Callithrix jacchus: one gene and its partner. The protein of the gene in region 1 binds, or shares a complex with, the protein of each later gene. Links are inferred from orthologs where the notes say so. Each region holds a gene or a part of one and is shown on either strand. Other genes may lie near its edges.

The links.
Region 2: the proteins of KIDINS220 (region 1) and XPR1 are in contact, whole or in part, in a cryo-EM structure (PDB 9JXQ), measured with the Homo sapiens proteins. The link is inferred for Callithrix jacchus from reciprocal best matches to the Homo sapiens genes KIDINS220 and XPR1. Residues at the interface, in NP_065789.1 of Homo sapiens: Glu36, Cys37, Gln39, Asp70, Trp72, Met102, Trp105, Trp110, Tyr113, Lys114, Val138, Ile142, Trp143, Gly146, Arg147, Ser166, Asp167, Lys168, Tyr169, Gly170, Trp176, Arg179, Lys180, Gln198, Glu199, Gly200, Ala201, Ser203, Lys234, Arg267; in NP_004727.2 of Homo sapiens: Leu95, Lys189, Lys190, Gln193, Glu197, Ala200, Asn204, Glu205, Ala636, Asp637, Asp638, Leu641, Leu642, Gln644, Met645, Met646, Asp647, Gln648, Asp649, Asp650, Val652, Arg653, Asn654, Arg655.

The regions. Positions count from the first base shown.
Region 1 is NC_133515.1:106,106,027-106,110,610, forward strand, and holds the start of KIDINS220 (kinase D-interacting substrate of 220 kDa), read left to right. Parts: upstream 1-1,718; 5' UTR 1,719-1,863; intron 1,864-4,584. UniProt on the Homo sapiens protein: Promotes a prolonged MAP-kinase signaling by neurotrophins through activation of a Rap1-dependent mechanism. Provides a docking site for the CRKL-C3G complex, resulting in Rap1-dependent sustained ERK activation.
Region 2 is NC_133519.1:22,601,827-22,605,637, reverse strand, and holds part of XPR1 (solute carrier family 53 member 1), read left to right. Parts: intron 1-2,122; coding exon 2,123-2,294; intron 2,295-3,721; coding exon 3,722-3,811. UniProt on the Homo sapiens protein: Inorganic ion transporter that mediates phosphate ion export across plasma membrane.

The DNA of each region.
Region 1 (4,584 bases):
ATCCTTATATCCTACTGACAGGGTTTGGCTCTGTGTCCCCACCCAAATCTCATCTCGACTTGTATTCCCCATAATCCCCTTGTGTCAAGGGAGGCACTTGGTGGGTGGTGATTGGATCATGGCATCGGTTTCCCCGTGCTGTTCTTGTGATAGTGAGTGAATTCTCATGAGATCTGTTAGATGTATAAGGGGCTTTTCTCCCTTTTGCTCTGCACTTCTCTTCCTGCAGCCATGTAAAGAATGATATATTTGCTTCCCTTTCTGCTATGATTGTAAGTTTCCTGAGACTTCCCCTGCCATGCAGAACTATGAGTCAATTATACTGCTTTTCTTTATAAATTTCCCTGTCTCAGGCAGTTCTTTATAGCAGTGTGAAAACAGACTAATACACCTACCACACTTCCAACCCCCCACCCCTGACCCATCCTCCCATGTTTACAACAGTGGCTGGCCTTAGCAAGCCGTTATTGAAGAACTCACACCATTTAGGACTTCACTGTACCCGGTGAGGTATTCACTCCTTGTTTCATGAGGAACACACCAACTTCTTTTTTTTTTTTAGACAGGGTCTCTGTTGCCCCGGCTGGAGTGCAGTGGTGTGATCTCAGCTCACTGCAGCTTTGAACTCCTGGGCTCAAGAGATCCTCTCACCTCTGCTTCCTAAGTAGCTGGGACTACAGGTGTGCAGCACCACACCCGGCTAAGTTTTGTATTTTGTGTGTGTGTGTGTATATATATATATATATATATATATATATATTTTTTTTTTTTTTTTTTTGAGACGGAGTTTCGCTCTTGTTACCAGGCTGGAGTGCAATGGCATGATCTCGGCTCACCGCAACCTCCGCCTCCTGGGTTCAGGCAATTCTCCTGCCTCAGCCTCCCGAGTAGCTGGGATTACAGGCACGTGCCACCATGCCCAGCTAATTTTTGTATTTATAGTAGAGACGGGGTTTCACCATGTTGACCAGGATGGTCTTGATCTCTTGACCTTGTGATCCACCCGCCTCGGCTTCCCAAAGTGCTGGGATTACAGGCGTGAGCCACCGCGCCCGGCTATATATATATTTTAAGAGATGTGGTATCTCCATGTTGTCCAGGTTGTTTTCAAACTCCTGAGCACAAGGCATCCCCCTGTCCTGGCCTCCCAAAGTGCTGGGGTTACAGGTGTAAGACCGTGTACCCAGCCCACACCAACTTCTGATGAAGCCAGGCTCCTTATTGGCTTTTTCCTGAGTTGCCAGGTTGACACATCAGTGGGTGCTTTTCGATGGTTCCCAACCTATGCACGTCGTAATCATCCGTGGATCTTTTAAAAAATCCAGACTGACGCTTGTTGGCAGCAAGGCCTAGGAATGTGGAGGCTGAAGGAGTGAGGGGAGGAGGTGGGAGCCTTGGAAGGCCAGGAATGTAAACCACAGGCTCTGTGGAAGGCGGAGGTCTTACCCGGAAGAAGGCTGCTAAGCAGGCTTTCATGTCTCATGAGTGTGCAGTGTCTTCTGAAGTTATAATTATTTCTCTGAAGAAGCTTGATTGTAATGGCAAATAGAGATCATAAATTAACTGTAATGAGGGTGACATTGACAGAGAAAAACCTTGTCCCGGGTGTCCCTGCCCCACGGCCCCTCCTGCCCCGCCTGCTCTACGCCCCTCCCCTCCACGCCCAGGGAGCGTGGCTACCCGGAGCCCCGCCCCTGCCCCAGGCCACGTGATCTGTCAGTTCGCTGAGAGGGAAGAATATGGCTGCCGGGTGTGGTGAGGGCGACGCGCTTGCAGTCGCTGTCTCTTGCTTTCCCGTCCTCTGACACCGCCTGCAGCCGAGCGGGCCGGTTCCGCCCGAGCTGAGGACCAGGTTGTGAGTCGGTCAGTGTGGAGGCCGGCTCGCGGGGCTTTGCCGCGGATGGGGGGGGAGGCGGGGCCGAGGCCGGGCTGGGGAGCCGGGTGGGTAGGTGGGACAGCCGGGGAGCGCGCGGGAGGGGCGCGCTGTGGCCGCGGGCCTCGGGTAGGGCCTGGCGCGGGCCCGGGACGCTCGGGCCCCGGCTTTCGGGCCGAGTCCGCGTTTGCTCGAGCGCCTGGAAGGTCTTCGGCTTTGGAATCTCAGGTGTTTTGTCTCCTCAGGGACCCGTAGGGTGGGCTGAGGTTAAGGGTGTTGGTAAAATCGTTTTTCTTTTTTCTTTTGCCAGGCAGCCTCTAGTGCATCCACCACCTCGAGAATCCCCCTCAGCTGGTACCGCTAGTCGTTATGGGTTTCTCTTCCTAGGCTTCCCTGGGCCGGGAGGTATTGTTTTCTCCCTCGCGGTCATCGTGGACTCCATTGCTCCATTGTCCTGTGCAGGCTTTTAAACGCCTTGACAACATGGTGCAAGCCATTGATTTCCGTGCTTTCAAGATTTATTTATAGGACAGTCGTTTCTTCACTCTGTAATCTTGGAATTTTTATTCTTTCAAGTCGGTAGGTTTAAACAGATGAAGATTTTTTTAATTAATAACTATGCAGTCATCTCTGCTCCCTATGGGCACGTGTTAAAAATGTAGATTTCTTAGCGTTTGAGAGATTCTCATTTTTTCGGCTAGAGGTGTGGCTCGGGAATCACCCCTTGAGTTTCATTCCTGTCCACATTTTGACAACACTGAGGACCAGACGTCTACACCGTTTTAAACCACCGTGGGTATTGCGTGCAGAGCCCGGGTTGGGAAATGCTGTGGCCAGGTGTGTTCTTTGTTCTCTTTGGCTCTACTCGCCTGGACTACTTTCATCATAATCATTTTGGGGTGCTTGTTAAAATGTCCGTTTCTGAGCACCGCCCCAAATCTAGGGAATGGGATTCTCTCGGGGAGGAGCTTAAGGGATATGTGTATTTGACAAGCTTCCCTATTAATTCTGATGCACATAAGTTTGAGAATCTTTGTTCTATACCCTTTATGTGAATGATTTCCAGATCTTTCACACACAGTGTGAACCATATATTTTTCCAAGTATTGGGTGGGTTTCTCAACCTAGCTCTTCTGGGGCATTTCAAATTCAGCCTAAGCACCCTATAGCCCCCTTCACCTAGCTGGGGTGGTGGGAGGGGGAGGCATAACTAAAGTAGAGAAAGGTCTCCTGCTCTTTTTTTTAATTTTTTTTGTTAAGGGCCGCTCCATTCTTCAGTCACCTCTGCTGGTCATCTGGTCATCTTCCACCTGTTCTTTCTTTTCCAATCTGTCACATGGTTAGTTTTTATATCCAGAATATCTCTTCTGGATATTTTGGTAGGTCAGAAAGTTTAAATATTGGGGATTTTATATTTTCGAGTTAGTATCTCTCGTTTCTTCTCCATTCCCACTGCCTCTTCTGTGTGCTATTTCGGTGGTTCTTCAGCTGGTATCTAGGGCCCTGATTCTTTGTTTTTCCAGTCTGGGTCACATACACTGCCAGGAGACTTATTTTTATAGGATCATGTATGAATGTGCCATCCCCTTCTTCCTGCTTTTGCTGAAGAACTGTCAGTTTCTCCATTTTATGTGCTACTGTATTAGTCAGGGCTGCTTACAAGTCAAAGAACAGAAACTTAATCTTTTACTTCAAGGAAAAGGAGATTATAGGATTGAACGAGGGTCAGAAGGAAGTCAGGAAGTCGCGGTGGCTCAAGCCTGTAATCCCAGCACTTTGGGAGGCCGAGGCAGGTGGATCACGAGGTCAAGAGATCGAGACCATCCTGGTCACCATTGTGAAACCCCATCTCTACTAAAAATACAAAAAATTTGCTGGGCATGGTGGCACGTGCCTGTAATCCCAGCTACTCGGGAGGCTGAGGCAGGAGAATTACCTGAACCCAGGAGGCAGAGGTTGCGGTGAGCCGAGATCGCGCCATTGCACTCCAGCCTGGGTAACAAGAGCGAAACTCCGTCTCAAAAAAAAAAAAAAGAAGTCAGGATCCCAAGTGGCTCCATTTTCTACATCTCCCTGGGGCAACTTTTTTTTGAGACCGGGTCTGGTAGTGTTGCCCAGGCTGGAGTGCCGTGATGTGATCTTGGTTCACTGCAGCCCTGACCTCCTCCTAGGGGCCATATTTGTTCTCTTAGGCAGAGTCCCTTTTCTGTTCATGTCTGTTGTGTTCTCTCTTTGCGACTGACTGTCTCAGAACTGTATCATTTTATAGGTGACCCATATTCGCTGACTCAGTTTCTGGTTTCTAATTCCCAGTTCTAGAGAGAGAGAAGTCTGATTGGCCCAGCTTATCTTTTTCAACAGTTTAATGCCATGGATCATAATATGCCCATCCCTGGGGATGGCTGATGGTAGAGAACGTGGCCATTGAGGGAACAGGAGCTGTGAGTGGGCAAAGTCCTCCAGAAGAGGCATCTTTAGTAAACCTATGCAGTTACTCAATTTGACAGTTTTCTATTACGTTTCTACTTGATCTAGATTTGTAATAGGTTCTGGGGATATAAGAATGAAGGAGAGAGAAAGCCCTTTGTAAATTAGTTTGAGGCCAGGCATGCTGGCTCACACCTGTAATCTCAGTGTTTTGGGAGGCCAAGGCAGGAGGATCACTTGAGGCTGGGAGTTCAAGAGCAGCCTTGGCAATATAGCAAGACCTG
Region 2 (3,811 bases), on another chromosome or scaffold:
AGAGAATTACAGACTCCCAAGTTGAATATGTCTATGAAATGAATATAACTAGATCACTAGAGAGCTAGAGATTAGATTCATTTTCTCAAAACTTCTACTTACTCAGAATTTCTTGTTTCAGGAATCACATTTCCCCCTGTACAAGATAAAAAGGGATCTGATAGGTTGAGGATTAAGTCTTCCTTCATCCCATGTTCATGCAAGGCTTATCAAGACAATCTGCACTATTTGGGCTTATTTCTGGTATTTGCCTAGGTGCCTACTTCCCTTTGCTGCAACGCCAAGATTTCCCTTTGTAGTGATAAACAGGTTTCCACAAAATAGATTAGGAAGAGTCTGTGTTGGTCTTCTGTAAAATGGGGATATGAATAGTTCCTAGCTCATAGAATTGTTATGAGGATTGAATTAAGGCCTGCATAAGCCTTGAAGAAAATATACTGTTTGAGTTACTGCTTAATACATTTAATACCTTTATCATGTGTTCAGAACAGTCAGAAGAGGGCTGGTTTTTGTTGTGTAATTTGAAGATGAACACAGCCATCACCATGGCATTAGTGAAAAGAAAGTGACTTTAGTTAGAGAATGAGGCATGTCTCATATGGTATACTGTCCTTTCCTTCTTATCCTTTGTAAGCAGAGAAGAACTTTGTATTCAGTTAGCTAAGATGAAGAATAGTCTAGACATTATAGCACTTGCATCTCCAGCAAAGCTTCCTAACTTTAGAGCCTCTCAAAGCTTCTATCTTCTGCTATTCTCTCTGCTTTCAACTTTAACTCTTCCCACCTCTTTGCTTTAGAAATTTTCTTTCTTTTCTTTTCTTTTTTTTTGGAGACTGAGTCTTGCTCTGTTGCCAGACTGGAGTGCAATGACACGATCTCAGCTCACTGCAACCTCCACCTTCTGGGTTCAAGCGATTCTCCTATCTCAGCCTCCCAAGTAGCTGAGACTACAGGCGTGTGCCACCATGCCCAGCCAATTTTCCTATTTTTAATAGAGGCAGGGCTTCACCATGTTTGCCAGGATGGTCTCAATCTCTTGGCCTCGTGATCCGCCCACCTTGGCCTCCCAAAGTGCTGGGATTATAGGCATGAGCCACCGTGCCTGGCTTCTATTTTCTTTCCTTCTTTATTTCTTCTTCTTCTTTTTTTTTTTTTTTGATAACATGGGTGAATTTATTTGTTAAGATGTGAGTGCAAACTTAACTACAAAGACAAACAAAGCTTATCATCAATAATAAACACAGAAGCTAAATAATTCTCCAATCATGCATTTTAACAGAAAGTACAAATATGAATACATTATAATTTGTAACTTCATTTAAAAATTAAGCTATCTGTCCAAATCCAAACCACTACACAGTCTTTAATCTGTTCTCTTTTTCTTACCTTAGAAGCATTTGTCATATGCTATCAGGAAAATAGAGGCAAGAATTACTAATCAGTTCTTTATGATCAAAGAAACATTATTGTCATTAACTGTGGCTTTTTGAATCTTTTATAAATACCACACAGTTATACCTCCACTCTTGAGGAAAAAAAAGATGAATACAGAAATCAAGGAGGTTTGACCGTTCATGGAATTAAAGCAAAGTCACAAGTGTTTGACTTAGAAATGTCCATATTGTAAATTTTTAAAGTACAACTTTAGTTGATAGCTGATGTGTATGTAATAATTGTGAACAGTTTAAACAGGTATAAGAATGTGTGAACAAAATCTTTAGACTCAAATACTTGAAAAGTAGCTATGAGTATGGAAAGATTTGTTTACATAAACGTGTATATTTTTAGATGAAAAATTAGAAGGTAGTGGTATCTCCCTGGTCCCTTAACAGTATTTGGATTTTTGCAAAGAATTAGCAGCACCCATGCTTTCTATGTTATAACTAGTTATTCCTGCTTTTTTTCCTCCTTTACTTCCTTTCTTTGTTACCCATTCAACTCATTCCCCTTCACTGCTAATTCACAACCTAGCCACTGTTGCCAGGTCTCTGTGTTTATGACTGATTTGGTTTCCATTTTATCAACTAAAGCAATCATGCTGAACAGTCAGACATGAAATGGAGAAATTTAATATGACTTTTCTTGTTTCTATGTTTTCTGATTTTTTTTTTTTTTTTCTCAGTTTCGAGTATTTACAGCCCCCTTCCATAAGGTAGGCTTTGCTGATTTCTGGCTGGCCGATCAGCTGAACAGCCTGTCAGTGATACTGATGGACCTGGAATATATGATCTGCTTCTACAGTTTGGAGCTCAAATGGGATGAAAGTAAGGGCCTGTTGCCAAATAATTCAGAAGGTAGGGTATGAATTTGCGTCTATATTACTAAATTACCAGTGTAAACCAAGATAATATTGGGAAGGCTAAATGAGAAAATCAAGGTCATGATGAAACTTATCCAATAATATTACAAACTTAATTAAATGTACTTGGCATTCTGTTAGCAGTCTCTTTATCTGATATAATTTGTCTGTCCATTTGCCAAGAGATGTACAACTTACACTTGAAGAATTCTAAAACTTTTTTTGTTAAGTTCTAGTACATTGGTAGTTATATTGCAAATGCTTTCATGCCAACAATTTGTTGTCACAGTATTGCTATATAATGTAACATAGATACCAGTGATCAAAAATACTGATTATTTAGAAATAAATTAAGTGCCTTGAGAGTAATTACAGATTGGTTTTTAATTCTTAGTTGGGATGCTATTTTTCTTCTAGCTTTTTTCCCCACCCTTAGTTTATGTCAGGAGTTCAAGTTATTAAGGAATTTTGCCTTCATGACAAAGATCTAATTTAGATCGACTGTGTGACATGTGACTAACAAAAGTTAATGATGAAGCCAGTGCTGACACATTTTTATTGATTGCCAGTGGATCACAGCTCTGTTATAGTTCGATCATACTCAATTCTGAATTTCAGAATTCAAAGAAAAATTGATTTACCAACTCCATTCTTACTTAAACACACAGTTTGTTCTTGGTTTAAAAAAGAAGGGGAGGTGGATGTACAAGAGCATGTGCTCTTGGGTGTCTTGTGTTGTTGGTGGTTTGGAATTTACAGAATTGTCTAGAATCACTGGTGATACTTGTAGGTTTTCCAGATGTTTCAAATTACGGAGCCAACCCATTTTTCCCTCCTTCTATTAGCATACTCATCTTCTAATTTTCTTACAGTTTTATCACACTCCGAAGAGACGGATTCAAATTTCCCCACTAGTTCCCCTCAATATGTTTTACCTTCTCTCCTTGACTTATCCACCACTAAAATGCTTGAGAATAAGCTGGGCGCGGTGGCTCACGCCTGTAATCCCAGCACTTTGGGAGGCTGAGGTGGGCGGATCACTTGAGGTCAAGAGTTTGAGATCAGCCTGGCCAACATAGTGAAACCCCATCTCTACTAAAAATACAAAAATTAGCTGGTGTGCTGGTGTGCACCTGTAATCCCAACTACTCCGAAGGCTGAGGCAAGAGAATCACTGGAACCCGGGAGGTGGAGGTTGCAGTGAGCTGAGATTTTTGCCATTGTACTCCAGTCTGGACCACAGAGTGAGACTCAGTCTCAAAAAAAAAAGCTTGAGATGTATAATAGTTGCAAAGAAGAAAGTGATTCTGAAACCTAGGTTTCTTGCTTTTTTAGGCTTGGTAGTGGCTACACTATATGGCTGAGTGATGTGAATGAAGTTATTTTTTTAATTGTAATTTTTCTTCTTTGAAATGTTTACAGAATCAGGAATTTGCCACAAATACACATATGGTGTGCGGGCCATTGTTCAGTGCATTCCTGCTTGGCTTCGCTTCATCCAGTGCCTGCGCC